4 linked regions of the Yarrowia lipolytica genome follow. The protein of the gene in region 1 binds, or shares a complex with, the protein of each later gene. Links are inferred from orthologs where the notes say so. Each region holds a gene or a part of one and is shown in the gene's direction. Other genes may lie near its edges. The genes, in order: YALI1_D15333g, YALI1_E13823g, YALI1_F12422g and YALI1_E38113g.

Evidence for each region.
Region 2: YALI1_D15333g (region 1) and YALI1_E13823g share a complex: the UniProt entries of both Saccharomyces cerevisiae proteins name them as parts of the mitochondrial large ribosomal subunit. The link is inferred for Yarrowia lipolytica from reciprocal best matches to the Saccharomyces cerevisiae genes MRP7 and MRPL51.
Region 3: YALI1_D15333g (region 1) and YALI1_F12422g share a complex: the UniProt entries of both Saccharomyces cerevisiae proteins name them as parts of the mitochondrial large ribosomal subunit. The link is inferred for Yarrowia lipolytica from reciprocal best matches to the Saccharomyces cerevisiae genes MRP7 and MRPL49.
Region 4: YALI1_D15333g (region 1) and YALI1_E38113g share a complex: the UniProt entries of both Saccharomyces cerevisiae proteins name them as parts of the mitochondrial large ribosomal subunit. The link is inferred for Yarrowia lipolytica from reciprocal best matches to the Saccharomyces cerevisiae genes MRP7 and MRPL35.

What each region holds. Positions count from the first base shown.
Region 1 is NC_090773.1:1,530,977-1,535,412, forward strand, and holds YALI1_D15333g (mitochondrial 54S ribosomal protein bL27m), read left to right. Parts: upstream 1-2,360; coding exon 2,361-3,485; downstream 3,486-4,436. Other genes in the region: YALI1_D15304g (uncharacterized protein), read left to right, coding at 1-330; YALI1_D15345g (uncharacterized protein), read right to left, coding at 3,496-3,590, 3,635-3,746; YALI1_D15362g (uncharacterized protein), read right to left, coding at 3,834-4,436. UniProt on the Saccharomyces cerevisiae protein: Component of the mitochondrial ribosome (mitoribosome), a dedicated translation machinery responsible for the synthesis of mitochondrial genome-encoded proteins, including at least some of the essential transmembrane subunits of the mitochondrial respiratory chain.
Region 2 is NC_090774.1:1,380,064-1,383,989, forward strand, and holds YALI1_E13823g (mitochondrial 54S ribosomal protein mL43), read left to right. Parts: upstream 1-2,234; coding exon 2,235-2,359; intron 2,360-2,549; coding exon 2,550-2,847; downstream 2,848-3,926. Other genes in the region: YALI1_E13808g (uncharacterized protein), read right to left, coding at 1-739; YALI1_E13818g (uncharacterized protein), read right to left, coding at 1,173-1,787; YALI1_E13848g (uncharacterized protein), read right to left, coding at 3,479-3,926. UniProt on the Saccharomyces cerevisiae protein: Component of the mitochondrial ribosome (mitoribosome), a dedicated translation machinery responsible for the synthesis of mitochondrial genome-encoded proteins, including at least some of the essential transmembrane subunits of the mitochondrial respiratory chain.
Region 3 is NC_090775.1:1,240,340-1,244,406, reverse strand, and holds YALI1_F12422g (mitochondrial 54S ribosomal protein bL21m), read left to right. Parts: upstream 1-2,201; coding exon 2,202-2,645; downstream 2,646-4,067. Other genes in the region: YALI1_F12434g (uncharacterized protein), read right to left, coding at 1-993; YALI1_F12430g (uncharacterized protein), read left to right, coding at 1,213-1,295, 1,343-1,616; YALI1_F12365g (uncharacterized protein), read left to right, coding at 3,456-4,067. UniProt on the Saccharomyces cerevisiae protein: Component of the mitochondrial ribosome (mitoribosome), a dedicated translation machinery responsible for the synthesis of mitochondrial genome-encoded proteins, including at least some of the essential transmembrane subunits of the mitochondrial respiratory chain.
Region 4 is NC_090774.1:3,808,880-3,813,438, forward strand, and holds YALI1_E38113g (mitochondrial 54S ribosomal protein mL38), read left to right. Parts: upstream 1-2,479; coding exon 2,480-3,544; downstream 3,545-4,559. Other genes in the region: YALI1_E38056g (uncharacterized protein), read left to right, coding at 1-17; YALI1_E38107g (uncharacterized protein), read right to left, coding at 210-1,886; YALI1_E38131g (uncharacterized protein), read right to left, coding at 3,931-4,203. UniProt on the Saccharomyces cerevisiae protein: Component of the mitochondrial ribosome (mitoribosome), a dedicated translation machinery responsible for the synthesis of mitochondrial genome-encoded proteins, including at least some of the essential transmembrane subunits of the mitochondrial respiratory chain.

The sequences.
Region 1 (4,436 bases):
GAAGACGATATTGTCTTCATCAACAAGCGCGACATGATGCTCTACAGACTCGCCTTGCACACCATGGCCAAATACTCAGGGCCAGAGGTATCTTGGGACTGTGCCAAGAGGGGTAACGGTTGGGAGGAGCGTGATATTGACGGAAACAAGAGCCAGTGTCGAATCATCCATAGAGACTATGCTGGATGTCTCGCTGACTTCTTGGAGACGTCTGGTCGCCCTGCAGATGTTGCTCTGGCTGAGGGAATGAAGCATTGCAAGATGAAACAAAAGTGGTTCTTGTTAGTACAGCATACTGGACGTAAGAGTGGGATGGGTCATGCTCAGTGATCATGGCGATGGGCGTTCACAAGCGCAGCTTGCAGCTTACCAGGAAAAGACAACAAGTTCATCAGGGCTTGTAACTAATCCTTGTGGTGATATACGGCTTCAATGATCTGATTGGAGGAATAAGCCGTCTTGAGAGACGGAGGTGATTCTACTATGTACCAGGACATACATACTATGCTGGTAGTCCATCTTTTTCTCTCACTGCAAATCAATACTTTATATCTGCAGACCTGAAGGATGAAGTCAAACGTATGTATCAAAACTCCAACTGGCGGAAAATGTAGTTAGACTGCCTGACAAGGTCCTGGAACTGCTCTTCATCAAACGATGGAGAATAGTGTTTGTTGGTGAAGAGCTCGGGACTAGGTGCAGGAATGACAACACATTCCTTGTACGACTCTCCACATCGATATGCCGTGTCTTCGTTGGTGTTGGGAGCCCTGGTTTGCTCTGTCAGAGCCATAAGGGGGTCGTCGACAATATGAAAGGAGCCCTTGGATATATAACAAACGGCTGAGCGAATTTGTCCCTCAGAATGGAAACTAGCGGTTTGTCACCCTTGCCAAAGCTTTCCATTCAACTGTTCTTGAGCAACGTGGTATTAGATAAAACACGATAAAAGAAACAAGTCTAATGCTTGGTTTTGACAATGATCTGGAAGAGTACCGACACTCCTACTTGTGTTGTACAGTATATCAAGTTATTGAATCTTCTCAATAGCCAGACGCCCTCTTACTCGCCATCTTTCTCATCACTCCCGTACCGAGACTCATGTTCCAATAATTACTTGGATGGACAGTTCCTTGTCATCGAAAGCATCGAAAGCTGCTTGAGGCGATGAGCTTTTTGTTTGCCTGATCTCGGTCTGAAAAAGATCGCAGTGTTGTATTGAACCGAGATATTCTATCTGGTATGCTCATATTCGGTATCCATCTTCGTACTTGTACATTTGATATTCCTGGATAGAAAAGATAAACTATTATGTAAATATTTAACTGGGACACTGTTCAGAATCGCCACAACTAACTGCTGCTATCGCGGCCATAGTACAAGCAACCAATAACTGCACATACTGTAGGAGTACATACATACCAGTGTAGTGGATATATCATGACCAAATGTCGATAACCCCCAGAAAAAACTACCACTGTGTGTCTAATCGTATACGTACGTACCCTTGCCGTTGCTCATCTAAATCTGCGATACCCCCCATGAGACGTCTTCGGATCTCATTCTGGTCGTTATCTTGTCCTTACACTGTAATTAGTGCGTTCGACAGAAAGCGTGAACGGCCCGAGCAATACGCTTGTGCGGTTTATTTTCTCGTGTGTGTGGAATATTATCTCGTGTGACAGAGAAGATACCATTGGTTTTACTATGTCGTTCAATCAAATGGTTCTGTACATCACGAGTAAGTCAAGGCTATTAATTTGTAGGAGGAGACTTCTGAGATAGAACTACAAGTATGTATCTTGTATTACCGCCGATGTTGTTATAACCAGATATATTAATGGCAATGGGTAAGGATACACCAGTGCATTGTTCAGGGCAGTTGTCCACACTGGTGCATTCGCTGGAGCCATCGTTGTGTGAGTGTCTCGAAATCCTCAGCCACTCTCTTCAACAGCATCTCTTCAACTAACCCTAACTACTTTATCAACTAACCATAACTACTTTCTCAACTAACCCCAACTACATGCTTAACTAACGAGTTATGCGTGCCGATCTAGTATACGCACTCCAAGTAGAATTCACGACGCCAAACATTCCAATTGGGTCTCAACTAAATCACCCAAATATCGGTACCCCTTCCCTAAGCTCTACAATCATGTTTGATGGCCCGTCATCTCGAAAGCCCTTGCTGCTCCTCTAAGTTTGTCAATCTACGCCCCTTGCACCGTCTACCCAGTGTCATCCGAAAATAAACTTTTCCACTGCACGTGACGTGAAAATTAGCATTGAACCATTGTAGAGAGTCCCAACAGTGCACGCAGAAATCGCTGAAAACCCACACACTCTTCAGAACCACAATGCTGCGACTTTCAGGAGTTAAGTCCGCGGTCCGTGCCCGGGCTGCCGCCGGCGCTGCCTTCTCTGTGTCCCTTTCGGGCCCCCAGGCCGTGTCTCTTTTGGCCTTGCCTCTCGTGCGACATGCCACCAAGCGAGCTGGAGGAGGTAAGACCAACCTCAAGGACTCTATTGGTCGACGACTGGGTGTCAAGGCCACCGAGGGAACCTATGTCCAGCCCTCGGACATCATCTACCGACAGCGAGGAACCAAGTTTTACCCTGGCGAGAACACATGGATCGGTCGAGATCACACCATCTACGCCAAGGAGCCTGGATACGTGCGATTCTACTATGATCCGTTCCACCCCACCCGTCGTTTCGTCGGCGTCGGTCTGACCCCTGAAGCCCGACTTCCCACCGACCACATGGCTCCCCGAGCTCGACGGTTTGGCCGAAATGTGATTTCCGACCCCAAGAGAGCCGAGGCCGAGCTCGCATGGAGACCCAACAAGGAGCAGCAGCTGCTGGAGGAGATTTCCGAGCGTCGGGCCGTCAAGCAGGCTGAGGAGCAGGCCCTCACCGACAAGCTGGCTGCCAAGCTCAAGGAGCTGGGCTTCGATAACAGTGAGCTGGCTGCTCGAGCCCAAAAGATGGCCCACTACCGAACTCTGGGATGGACCAACGCTGAGGCTGCTCGGTTTGCCGACGCCTTTCTCAACACTTCTTCTGACGTCAAGGACTTTGATGCCAAGTTTGAGGTCACCAAGTTTGGAACCGTGGTGCCCAAGAGCAGCCCCGAGACCGTGGAGAAGGAGCTCAACGAGACCCGAGACAAGCTGACCAAGGTGCGACAGCCCAACGCGTTCATCTCGCTCTCTCAGATCGCCAAAATCGACAAGATCCTCGACGCCACTGTCTACCTGAGCCAGAGCCAGAAGGAGCAGCTGGCCGACGAGTTCAAGGTCACCGCATCGCTTCTGGAGGCCGTGCAGCCCCACGAGGAGGTGGTCAAGGCCGCCAAGAAGGGCAAAGGCAAGCTGGTCAAGGTCTACAACGTCCAGCGAAAGGGTATTGACTATGTTCTTGCCCCCAAGGACGCCCACTTTTCCGAGGACATTGCCTTCCAGAAGGAGTTTGTTCACTAATTGTATATAGCTAGTAGTAGCAGAAGTTGCAGTGCGTTTGCATGATGAAAATGAAGTTGTTTTGAAAAATTATGTGGGTAACGTACAAGTAGCTGACTTTTGACCCTATCTTACGAGTGAGTGCATTGTATATGTTGCGCAACGGTTACATCTCTGATCAAAAGAAGAACCTGGGTTTAGGCAGTCATATCTTGTTATTGCCAGGTCACGAACATGCCGGTAGCTAACATACAGTGCCCTATTTACCGTTCCTACACTCATAATCACATACAAGAAGTACGTGGTGTAGTTAGACAGTGCGCAATGCTATTGGTATGCTCCTGTTTCTATGTCACTATCCCTCGTCGCTTACGGCAACGACTCCTCGTTTTTAGGGTCGAGCTTCTGGGCCTGTGATTGGGCCTCCAGATCTGCTACAAACTTCTGGGCCTCCTCGTTGCCCTCCATGACATATCGTAGACAAACCACTCCTCGTTCTTTCAAAAACGGATTGTTGGCGTCAATGTTGCAGCAGTTGAGAATTTCAGGGAGACCTCCTGCCTTCCAGATGAGACTCTGCACCATTGCCAGCTGCTGTTTCGAAGTAGCAGATGCAATTTGAAGAATGGAAGACAGAAGCTCAATAGTGGCACTCTTGACATGAGGGTAGTCCGTGACCTCCAGAACAGAAGTCTGAATCTCCTTGAGCTTTCGTTTGGCAGGGTACTCCTTCTGTGCAAAAACAAGGTAGTTGGTGACCTGAGTGATGAACTCGGGGTAGTCATGTTGAAGCTGTCCCGAGCAGGTGGGAAGCTTGGGCTCAGTGGCCAGGAGAACAGTGAGAGCCTCGAAACAGAACCGAATCACTTGTGCGGCGTTGCAGCTCTTACTTTCCGTATCTAAAACCAGCTTGAGTTCTTTCATGGAGATGGAAAAGTATGCAATGAACAAGTGTTCGAGATCCAAAGGAGT
Region 2 (3,926 bases), on another chromosome or scaffold:
GGTCTCTGTGTCCTGGAAACAGATCCCGTCCTCCAGCTCCTCCCGGTGGCATTGGTGGACCGAGCGGTTTGCGTTCAGACTCCTTTGTGTAGTGTCTTCCGCCTTTTCCTCCTCCTAGTCGTCGAGGAAGCCATCCACTGACCGTACGGCCTCTCTCGACGTCAACCACCACTTTTCTGCCCTTGATGATCGATCCGTTGGTCATCTGAAATGCTTTTCGAAAATCGTCTTCCTCCTGGAATTCGACAAACCCATATCCGTTGCTCTTGCCGCTCTTTAGATCCCGTACAATACGTACGTGTTTGACAGGCCCAAACTTGATGTAATGTTCCTCCAGGTCGTTTTCAGTCACGTCGAACGCCAGACGCGCCACAAATAGCGTCTTGAACGGATCGCCCACAATCTTGTCGTCCTTCTTGGGATCCCATGCCTCTTTTCGTTCCTGCTGGGTCACCTTTTGGCGCTCACTTTTTAGCCGCTTCTCTCGCTGCTGTTTGACCAGCCACGACTCGGTCGGCACGTATTCCGAATCGGGCTGCTTCAACAGCTCCATATACGCCGAAACGCCTGAGATTTTCTGCGTTCTTCGGTCCTCAGGAGCATAGTCGATCGGCTCCAGGTACCGTGGCTCGGGACACTCGGGGAAGAGCCGCTGGATGTGAGGGGGTAGCCGTTCCAATTCAGCCTGGGTTAGCCTTGTTGTTGATTGCAGAGCAAATGTCGCGCAGATACTCACCATGATTATGGATGCTGTTAGTGTGTGTAGTGATGTTGATGGTCGTGATGTTGGTTTGAAATATTAGTGTTGTGCATCAGAAGTTTATCTGACATCGTGAGTAGGGTGAAGTGAGATGGGATTGAAGAGAGTTATACAAGAAAGGTAGAGAAGAAGTAAATACAAGGGGAAAGCGAACAGAATATCGTCGCTAGTTTGTTTTTCTAGGTTTTTTTTTGGATATATTCTTCTGAAGAAGACTTTTCAAGACGTGATCGAGTTTTTCAGACCTACAGTGTGCCCCAGGAAGAATCAGCGAGCTACAAGGCTGTTTGCAATAACAAGTACACTGTACTTGTACTATACTGACCATCCGCTCATACTACCGTCTCCACCCTCCCCTTGATACACAAATAAATACTTTACTATATACATTGCTGCTCTTTTGTCCTTCTAATCACAGGTCAGGAGGAAAGAGAGCAGCAGCAACAAGACCGGGACGCTCGGTGGCCAGAAGATCAAAGTTCTTGGCTCCGTTGGCACTGTCAGAGATCTCGACGGAGATTCCCAGAGAGTTGAGATAGTTTCGGGTCTTGGGCGACAGCACTCGCGACTTCTTTCCCAGGCCGAAGATGAGCAGCTCAGGACGAGGGTAGACAACCTCAAAGACACCCAGTGCAGCAGGATCGATTTCAACCAGACCGGTATCGAGACCCTTGACGCACTCGGGAGTAAGGTTCCAGGCCAGCACCTCAGAAAGGCCCATCAGAATGGCTCCAACGGGCTTCTTTCCGCTGGGAGACTTGCTCTTGAGCACCTTGTCGTCCTTGAACACAAAGCCGTTGGAAAGCACGGCCTCCACGTTGTTGTGGGCCGTCTCAAGATCGCCGTAGAGATCGTATTCGGCCAGAGCTCCTCCAGGACGAGCAGCCGTGTTTTCGAGCTTTCGCTTGGTTCGCTCCATGGGTCCCTCGCCCTTGAACCACGGGTTTTCGAGCTTGACGTTTTTCGCACACACCCGAGAGGTGTGGATCGAGCGGGACAAGATTCCGACGGCTCGTGTTCGCAGCATTGTTTTTGTCGTGAGAGCGAGTGAGTTGTGGTGTTCAAGACGACTTCAGCTTGGTCTTGATTCGCTCTGCATTGGAACCTTGTTGATGACTTCAGTGGCGGTAGTCGAAAGAGGCGGGAGAAGGCTAAGTAAACGTTTGACAATTAGCTAACTAATAAATGCCCCAACATTAGTAACTGTATTTGGCTTAGTTGAACTCTGAAGGGCAGATCAATACCCCCTCAAGCTCTTCTAATATTGGTAATTATTGTATGGAAGAATCCACACTGTCTCTATTGTTGTTTTTCTTCCATTTAAAATGCTCTCCTTCATATTAATTGTCTCTCATTACCAAGAATTACTCCTCCCCCCCTTCGGGCCTCCACAGTTACCCTACCTTTGCAAAATTACAGGAGCCTAAACGCAACGCACAGATCAATCTGAAATATCTACATTCAACACACAAAAATGTCGGCTCGACCAGCTTACCAGACTGTTGCCCGAAACCTCAACGGTGTCGGCAACTTTGTGCTTCAGTGCAAGAAGGTCACTTTCCGGTACTGCAACTGGGGTGGCTCTTCCGACGGAATGAGGTGAGTATCACAACGGGGAACTGAACTGTGACTTGGACACGGACATAGATGGAGGTACAGACATGCCAGTGGCACAAGTGGGGTGCTAGATGAAGAGCAGAATGCTACCCAGTGCGTGTGGTGTGACGTGTCATCTTTGTTTGGTCTTTGAATTCAGACATCCACCGCGTCTCAGATCACACTAACACAGACAATACCTGGACAAGAACCTGCAGAAGATTGCTGCTCAGAACCCCGAGATCGAGTTTGTGGCTGTCAAGGACATTGGCCACCCCTTCATCCGAGGCGAGTTTGTCAACGGTGCCGAGAAGACCATCTGCTGCAAGAACAAGCATCCCCGATTCATCAACGGCAAGTTTGAGATGCTCAAGAGCTCCGACGGAGCTCCCCGAAAGCAGATGAAGAGCCCCGTTGAAAGTATAAACGAGAGTGTCCGAGGTATCTGGTCTCCTTACCATACCGACCCCAAGGCACGACACAAGATTTAAATGTACATAGTAAATTATAGCATAGCGAAAGATGGTGAAAGAGCGAAGGACAATGGCCGATACGAATCGCCATAGTAGAGGTATGGAGCGAATGGTGGTGTGCAAGTGGCTTTTATACCATAACGGTTGTGACACAGTAGAAGCTCGTTTGTTGAATTGTGCGGCACTCCGACGATCTCTAACTACGATATATCGTGGAGCGCAAGTGAGAAGTACTTGTACGAGGCAAACAAGCGGTTGTACTACAAGTGTTCGTACGAGTACAGTACTCATAAGTACAGAACTTGTACCAACTTGTATGAAGTCACTCAATTACTATAGGGATGAACAGAAACACAACTACTGGAAGCAAAAGGGAGTGAAAGGAAACAGAACAGAAAACAGAAACAGAAACAGAAACAGAAACAGAAACAGAAACAGAAACAGGAAACAGAAACAGAAGCAACCTGAATGTTGTCAAAAGGATACTTGTAGTAGATTCAGCAAGGTGCAAGGTAACATCAACCTCGGCTACAGTAAACTTGGGAACTTGATTGAAGCTGTGTACATCACACAGTCTGGAATAACTTATTTCTATGCGTGCCTTTCCTCCGTCTATTTTACATGCCCAAAGTGGCTGCTCTCTTGTATCTTATGCTTTGTGTTGGGGGTCGAGCTGGTCTATGTCAGCCTCTCTATCATGACAGAAGGGATGCTCGAGTGCCTGTTCTGGGGTCATTCGCTTTTCGGGGTTGAGTGCAAAGAGCTTGTCTAATAGATCGATCAGATGGCCCTGTAGGATGATATCTGATCCGGTCTCTCTGCATTTGCCCAGCAGCTTTTTGACAGGCAGAGGAGCCTGGTTTTGTGTGTATCGTAGTGTATGTGTGATCATTCGTCCAGTATGGGGGTCCACTTCGTCGGACTTGAAGTCGAGGTTCTCGTCAAAGTACTTTTCCGTCAGCTTGCCTTTTTTAAGCTGCTTGTGGCTAAACTTGCCTCGCACGTCCATGATACACTTGATCATGTGGTTGTTGGACGAGCCTGCAAACAGAATACATCCGGTGTACAGCTCGTAGAGAGTGCATCCAGCGGACCAC
Region 3 (4,067 bases), on another chromosome or scaffold:
GTGCACCTCGTAGGAGGCCTCCGAGTTGCGGTTGTACTCCATTCCTAGTGGCACCGCATGAACTTCCTCCACATTGTCGTTTTCCCGCGCGTCAATCACCTCACAGAAGACGTTAGTACAGGGCTGCTGGTCTTCGGGCAGCAGATATCTTCTGAGAAGCGCGTTGCAGAAGGTCGACTTACCCGAGTTGACATCTCCGGTAATGAGCACCTTTGAGGCGGTATCGTCAATACGAACTCTCAAGTTGGACAAGTGCTTCATGCACTTTGTGATTCGTGTGTCGATGAGCACGCCTAGGGCTTCCTTGTCAAACTCGTGCACGTCCTTGGACGCTTTGGAGTCATCCACAATGGCGAGCTTGAAGATGTTGAACTCCGAGTCCACGGTGGGCAGTTCGTCGAACCCCTCAATGTAGCTTTGGCGTCTGTTCTGGGGAGCAGGAGTGATGTCTCGGGGGGCCTCGCCGAATATACTAACGTTCCGTAGTAGCTCGTTTCGGGGGTCTTGGATCGCCTGTAGGTCTGGAACCGGTGAGCTGTGTCTGGAAGAGGTGGCTGTGGGGGGCTGAGGGTTTGCCACTGGGGGGTAGTAGACCGGTCGGTCTCTGTTAACGTCCTGGAGCTCCCGTAGGATGCCCATCACGGCCGAGATACTTCGACCTAACGATATCCGGTTCTCATTGTACCGAAGCTGGCTCAGTTGGGCTTGTTGCATCTGGCGAGTCTCGCCACTGAGCCGTCGGTGCGAGCTGTCTGCGGCCTCCAGGGTCGAGCCATCAAACACAATGAGCTTCGACTTGTCGACCAGCTCGTCGGTGATGATGCTGCCGGACACAGAAGGCGCGTATCCCGAGTCATGGTCATTGGACCCTCTTCGGTGGTAGTTGTCGCTGTTGGCGTTGGAGTTGGCGTTGGCGTTGGACTCTCTGTTTCCGTCTTTACTGCTGCTGGGCTCTTGGCCCGGCGGGTAGTCGTACGGGTCTCTGTCGGACATGGCACACACGTTTCGAGGATATCCGTCTGATTTCAAAAGATTTGAGATGGTGAGTTAGCAAGTTACCCGGGAGAGATATTGGGACTGTTTAAGTTAGTTGCATAACTACAGTAAGTTGAAAGTCAACTGAAGAACCACTATAGCAGTGATGGGCAACTGGAAAAGGTGGCAAACAGAGACCGGGAGATCACGTGGGGGGCGGGCGGTCACGTGACCGGAATGGACGTTTCACAGCGCGCCCCTCTCCTTCCGTCCACATTCAGCTTTCTGTACTCTCTTTCTCATGCTGACGCTTGCAGTTGGTATCCACGTAATCAGCGGCTGAGATCAGGTCATTCGAAACAGCAAGGTTTCAGGAACCATCAAAACATGTGACCATACGAGGAGGTTGTTCTGGGGGCGTTTTGAGTCATGTGAGAGAATCAAAATGGCATTATTTGTTGCTAATTGAGTGGATATGGCACTATTTTCGTCTTGGGTTCTTTTTTCCCCCAAAAAAACGCACAATTTATCTCCGTCGGGGCTCTGATCTCGGGCGCATCGGATTTAGCAATGGCCTGTTTGGGCCTAATTTCGAGTTGAGTCGTAATCCCGCAGTGATGGTATTTTTTTTCTCGCAGTGATGTATTTTTTTCTTTTTTCCCCTCTTTTTTTGAAATAAACAATTTAATTGATAATTGCACTTGGGGTAAAGCAGATGTTAGAGGAGATTCGGGTTTTTATTGGTGGCTCTCACAAAAAAAAAATTCTTTTGAATTTTCGTACCTCCGTCTCCAATTAAATTGACCAATTTGCTGTTGATATCGGCTTAGTAATGTATGTCTTAGTTGGAATATTTAGTTGAATGATTAGTTTACTGAATGCATCATATTTTATGTATTGTGTATAAAAATATATATAATATGTTACAGTATATACAGTATATGTTATAAAAAAATACCCTAAGAAAAGTGAGAAAAAAAAAAGAAGAAAAAAAACATTACATTAACCGTGATTGCGGGTTCGATCCTCGAGCGCTAGATTATATCACATGCTCCGATTCTAATAAAACAAGACAATTCCGCCCCAAATATACGCCGTACATACTCGGTGGTATTTTCGTCTCTTGAATCCCCCCATTCACCGCCCCGCTTACATCATGTACCAATCTTCCAACTGAAACTTTTTCATACATACATCACCACTTCACACAACACCACACAAACACAATGATGTCGCTATTGAGACAGGTGCGGCACATGTCGACCGCCGCCAGCGCGCCCAGCGGGTTCCTCAAGGTGTCTGCCGAGCAGATCAAGCCCCTGCTGCTCGCCAACCAGCACATTTTCGCCAAGGTGCACATGCACAACAACGCCTACCTGGTGACCAAGGGCGACCAGATGCGACTGCCTTACCGGTTCAAGGGCCTCAAGGTGGGCGACGTGATCAACTTTGAGCACGTGAGCCAGATCGGCTCTCGGGATCACGTGTTCCAGGGTGACAAGTACATTTCCCAGGACCACTTCAACATCAAGGGCGTTGTGACTGCTCTCACTGCTGAGCCCATGACCACCCATGTTCACCATCGAATCAAGGACAAGGGTTACACTCGGACCCAGCGAAAGGTGCCCCAGACCATCATTCGAATTAGCGAGCTGGAACTCAAGGCTTAGAAGAGGAAGTTGAAATTACGAGTGGAGCGAGTAATTTGGTTCTTCTGCGTTATGTATATAGGAATGCATTTATTGCGTAAAGGAACGACACCGGGCGACACAGGTGCTACTGTCCAACGAGCACTGGCTATCATGTGCAGTTGTGGGTCGTGATCTACAACTGAGATCAGTATGTGAATGGAAGGCAACAATTGAGGTTGTAGTGAGGTCATTATATAGTGGGGGTATCGATAAAGTGTCTGGAGTTGAAAAGTTGCAGACGAATATCTCCATTTGGTATTTTGCTTGGTACGGTGAATTGATGATTGTAGCCATACTAGGTACCAGTGTGACTATGGAGGATGGGGGATCTAAGAGGGTCTAAGATCTAAGGTCTAGATCTAAGAAGGTCTAAACATGTTAATAGAGGTCTCTACAGATGCTGAGATACACGTGTCTAGTCACCATCTTCAATTACCGGTCAAATACTCCCCAATATCTCTCCCTCACTTCGTCACCAAATCTAAACAAAACAGTTGAGGATTTATTTGACTCGGTTGTCCCAGTTGGGTGCGGCTTTAACGAAGAGAGGACGGATTAATGTGGCTGAACTTGCTCCAAAAGTGACCTTTTTGGAACGGGGAAAAACGGAATTAACTCATAACCAGATTTATGACGCTTTGCACTCTTCACTTTCCCCCATAATCTCCTTCAACCCCCTCAACCTCTCTCGTTCTGACCCCGATAAACTTAAACTCCCTGCAAACACGAGACCACGCACTCCAGCATCTCACCACTACTTGTACAGTACAAGCACCCGTACACGGAACCATGGGCGAGTTCCATATCAACCTGATTCCGACGTACGACGACGCTCATAATCTCACGGACGATCTGCAGTCCGTGTCGTCGTCGCCGTACTCGGTGACCGTGCCCAAAAACCGACTTCGTTCGCGCAGCGACTTGTCTGAGGTCGCAGACCGATCTGTGTCCACTGGAGCTCTGGAGCGACTGGTTCCGAACCCAAACAAGATCCGCGTCGACCGACGTGTCGTGAGTGATACCAATGGTGACTCGAATGCCAACTCGGGTCCCAGTCTCACGCACCATCTTTCCCATGCCAATCTTAACACTTACAACAACAACAGCAGTACCAACAACTTGCAGACTCCGCAGAAGCTCAAGTCGTCTGTTTCCTACTCTTCGCTACATCGCACACCCAACAACAACAACTTTGACACCTCGTTCCAGTCTCTGCAGTCCGAACAGTCGTTCCATACCGCGCCGTCTCCAGACGGAGTGCTGTCGTCAAGTCCTAACGAGACCAGACTCAAATTCCAGAAAAGCAGAGACATTTTACGCCAGGGAGCCCCGTCTCCCCTCAATCTCACGCCGGGGAATAGATCTGTGAACGCCACGTCGCCTCATCCTCCGACACCTTCG
Region 4 (4,559 bases), on another chromosome or scaffold:
ACGAAGTGTTTGCCTAGGAAGCAAACATGTATAATTGTCTGGCGTATGTAATATGTCAGCGTGTAAATTATGTATTGATAGATTATTGTGATAGGAGTAAGGAGTAGGAGCGTAGCGCGTGTTTTAAATGTGGTATAAACGAGGACTCTGCTATAGCCGGCCAATTGTATTTCTTATCATGCATGAATTAGTATATGAGTATTTGAACTCTAGTCGCTCAGACCATAGTCTTCGTAATCGTCATCGTCATCTTCTTTATCTGCGAGATCCTTCATGGCAGACTTGACGCCCTCAAAGTCGGCAACCTCGAAACCCTCAATCTTGAACTCGCCATCCTCAAAGTACATGGTGACAATCAGATCTTCATCTTCGTCCTCCTCGGCCTTATCTGGCATCTGTTTAGATTCTGCCTCAGCTGTGGAGAGTGTTTGAGTCCGGAAGAAGGTCTGTGTTGAAGTGACAGTGTCAGTTCCATCATCTTCAGCTGAGTCCACAGCTTTTTCCTCCACCGAGGCCTCCACTTGCTTTTTGGCCTCTTCCCTCTTAGTCGAGGCAGCTTCCTTCTTCTTGGCCAGCTTCTTGGACTGCTTGGCCTCCTTGTTAAGCTGCTTCATAACTTCATCAGTAGCTCTGGCAAGGACATCCTCGATCCCAGCGTCATCTAACATAGTAAGACCCTGGATCTCCAGGTTTGACATGTCGCCCTGTTCCTGCCACCATGCATACTTCTCTTCGAGAGTCACATCATCATCGTTAATGCTGAGCAGCAGCTGCTGACGAGTGATCATGAGACGCACCTCAAAGTGGCGGTTGATGGGAGCAGGAACAAACATGGATCTGGTCTGGATGATGAAAGGAGCATCATGAGAAGGAGTGGCAATGCCAAGCTCCTTGAACAGTGTCTGTCTATTGACGCAGTCGCCGAGCCAGACTCCAATGTAGTTGAGAGCTCGAGCTTTGGTGAATCTCCATGCAACCTCAATCTCGTCAATCTTGTCCTTGTTGACATTGGATCCGACAAACTGGTGGGCACGAGCCGAGACAGCCTCCTGCTCCTCCTTCACGTGAGCAACGCCGTCAAACATGCCGTCAATGGTCTCAAACTCGGGGGCCTCAGACTCGACGCTGTAGCACATGATGGGCAAAGACTCATCTGGAGGAGGCTGAAACCTCATGTCTTTACAGAGGCGCGGGGTGCCGACCTGCATGACGTAGTTGCACGTTCGCTTCTCCTTGATCCACAGTATATGGTCATGCTGGACGTTTTTGTCACATACAAACTGAACCTCGATTTCTCGGTTGGCGCCGGTCAGAGGACAATGGGTTCCCGAACGGAGTCTATGGGCCAGAAAGGGGATTCCTCCGGCACTGGTGACCGTGTTGGTCGTATCGTCCTTCTCGAAGCTACCGAGCACGAACGTGGGCGAATCGTCTGCCTGAGGAGGAGGATAGATTCGAGGGAAGTAATTGTCTCCATGTCTTCGATACTGAACGACTCCCGAGCCGTAACAGAAACGATACGAGAAGAATCCCTGTTCGTAGAAGAGACAGTCACCCAGAAGAGGCAACATGAGCTCCAAAGCTCTGTCTCGGGCCTCTGTTGGCGACAGTTCTCCCTCCTCTCGTGATTTTGAGCTCTTCGTGGTCGTGACTTCCGGAATACCGCAGATGTGGTTTGTGCCGTTGAATTGCATCATCTCGTACCCCAGGGGATGGCCATATACCGGATCTCGATGCGGTAGCAGGCCGTTCTGGACATCTGCTTGTCGCAATGGTCGGTTGTGGAACTGTACTGTGAATTGTGGGTCGGCAAAGAGATCGTCTCCTATGTTGAAGGTTGCTGCGAGCGACGAGCTTGCTATCAATGCCAGGGACTTTAACAACATGGCATGTGGCGAACTTGTGAGCTGGTGGTGGTGATTTCAATGTTAGTTACAGCTGTACTTGAACAGCACACGTCATGTCAGTTCAGCATGAATTAAGCGCAGTGGGAGATGCTGTTAGGCATTCAATAAGTGTCATAGGAGAATTTTTAATAAATATAATAAAATCACAGTAAATCGTTAGTCTGAACGAATTATTATATTTATATTTTCGTTTTTTACTCTTAAATCACTATTACAGCAATAAGCCGCCTCGTACACTCACCCCATCTCCATTACTGTATGTACGCTCATGTACCGAAATTGAGTTCATTCTAAGTATATGATTGGCTTAGTAAGCTTAACATGTTCAAGAAAAAATATGGAAGGTACAAGTACTTATATAGAGAAAACTACTTGGCCAAGGACACACTTTTGAATAATGACACAGAAAAAATCTATTGCTTTGAAACGACCTCAGCTGATCTGTCATTATTAGTACTTATAGCACCACCTGAATCACTGTCACTCCATCCCTACACTCTCTCCTCCCAATGTGCATGTTTTAACTCTGAAAAATTCCACAGGTCAATATCACATCTTCACACACAGCAGCCATGATTAGATCGACTGTTCGGCTGGCGCCACGAGGAGCAAGATTTATCACCAACAACAGTGGCTCTGCCGAGACTCTGCGGGTGGCCGACGAGAAGCTGGCCCAGATTCTCACCGGCGGCTCCACGTCCGGAGCACACACCTCCATCAAGGATCTGAACAAGCGAGCTCTGTACAAGAGTCCCCCTGGTCTGGATGCAATCTTCCCCGCTGCTCTGAAGATTGTCGAGGAGAAGAGCGCTGCCATCAAGAAGCAGGCCGAGGAGATTGCTAAGGAGTTCGAGGCTTCTGGAGACAAGGCTCTCAAGGACCAGTACATCAAGCTCATGGGCAAGGCCGAGGTCCACAACCCCCAGGTGATGATGAACCACGTGAACGGCAATGTCGATATGAATCACCCCGTCTACCGACATCTTGCCGAGGCCGACTACAAGAAGTACGAGCAGATTCTGCTGGTCGAGAGTCTAGAGACCATGCATGTCATTCCCGACACCATGCCCGTGATTGACGCCAAGGCTCGAGTTCGAGTCAACTTCCCCGGCAACGAGAAGGGCAAGTGGATCACTCCCGGAACACTGCAATCCACCGAGCTCACCTCCGAGCTGCCCATCGTCGAGATCCAGGAATTCGAGGACATCCCCAAGGACGCCAAGTACACAGTCCTGCTGGTTGATCCCGACTACCCCGTCCCTGAGACCGAGTCCTTTGGTACCAAGGTCCACTGGGCCGTGTCCAACGTGCCCATTTCCGTCGATCAGCCTCTTGTGAAGCCCGAGCTCGGAGACACTCTGGTCAAGTATGTGCCCTCCACCCCCGAGAAGAACTCTGGAGACCACCGAATGTCTCTGTGGGTGTTCCGACAGGACGGTGACGTCAAGGACTCTCTTTCGCATTCCGACTTCTTCGACATCCGGGGCTTTGCCGACAAGCATAAGCTGACCTCTGTGGGCGCTTTCTTCTGGCGAAACCGGTTCGACATGTTTGCCGAGAGCCTGCGGGAGAAGTTTGGCCTTGGAAGCGGCCGAGTGTTTGGAATGTCCAGAACTGGCGAGGACGTTCCCCGATAAGTGTATATAGTCAGAATCAGAACAAGCACCTCGTGCTTGTATTCGTAATGTGAAGAGTTACATCAACATGTCTATATTGTAAGATAACCATGGAAAGATCAGATCTAAAGGGTGGCTTAAATCAATTGAACATGGAGAACTTTTTTCGTATCTGGTATTCAAGGCTCCATCTACCATTTGTACTTGTAGTACGTCATACTGTGTCCAACTACACTCAACTACAACCCACATTCAAGTCACATACATAAATCAAATTGAAGGGAGCTGCGCAAGGCGTGCCACCAAAGAGGGAAAAGAACCGCTGGTAAGCCACTTCGCCTCATAACCTGTCCAAATGGTCAATTAATTACATGCTCGTCGAGCTTTTCGATGCATAAATAATACGCTTAGGCCTTCTCGGGGAAAGCGTGGTTGAGGTAGGCTTCAATGTCGAACTTGTCGTCAGAGATATCGGTAACAACACCGGTGGAGGCGACGGGGGCGGGGTGGAGTCGGGCCCACTCGGCCTTGGCCTGCTCAATGAGCTTCTCCTGCTTCTTGAACTTGGCATCAGCCACCTTCTTCTCAGCCTGGGAGTAGAGGGTTCGGTTGTGAACGAAGCCGTAGACGACACCGGCACCGAGGGCGGACCATCGCAGAACGTTGAGAGTGGCAGACATCTTTTCGGTTGTGTAATGTATGAGGTATTGGACCTTCAGTATGTGTGGTGGTGGTGTGTTCCGACTGCAGAGGTAAAATATGACAATGCGCCGTTGGCCAATGGGAGCACAAATATAAGTAGGGTAACTAACTCTATTGATCCTCGTGTTGTTATCAAACAAGGAGGCTGGTTAAGTAGTTAGTGGGGGAATGGTGACCAAAGATGAACTCCGATGGTGGTTTTGTTGCCAATTCGTTTTTCCAACAATTTCAGAGTTTTTTTTCCTCCCTATATCTGCTTCATGGCCTCCACCCCAGCTGGCCTTCATTAATCTCCTGTGTACATGCGAGGTTCGAACTGACTCCTTCTCTCAAA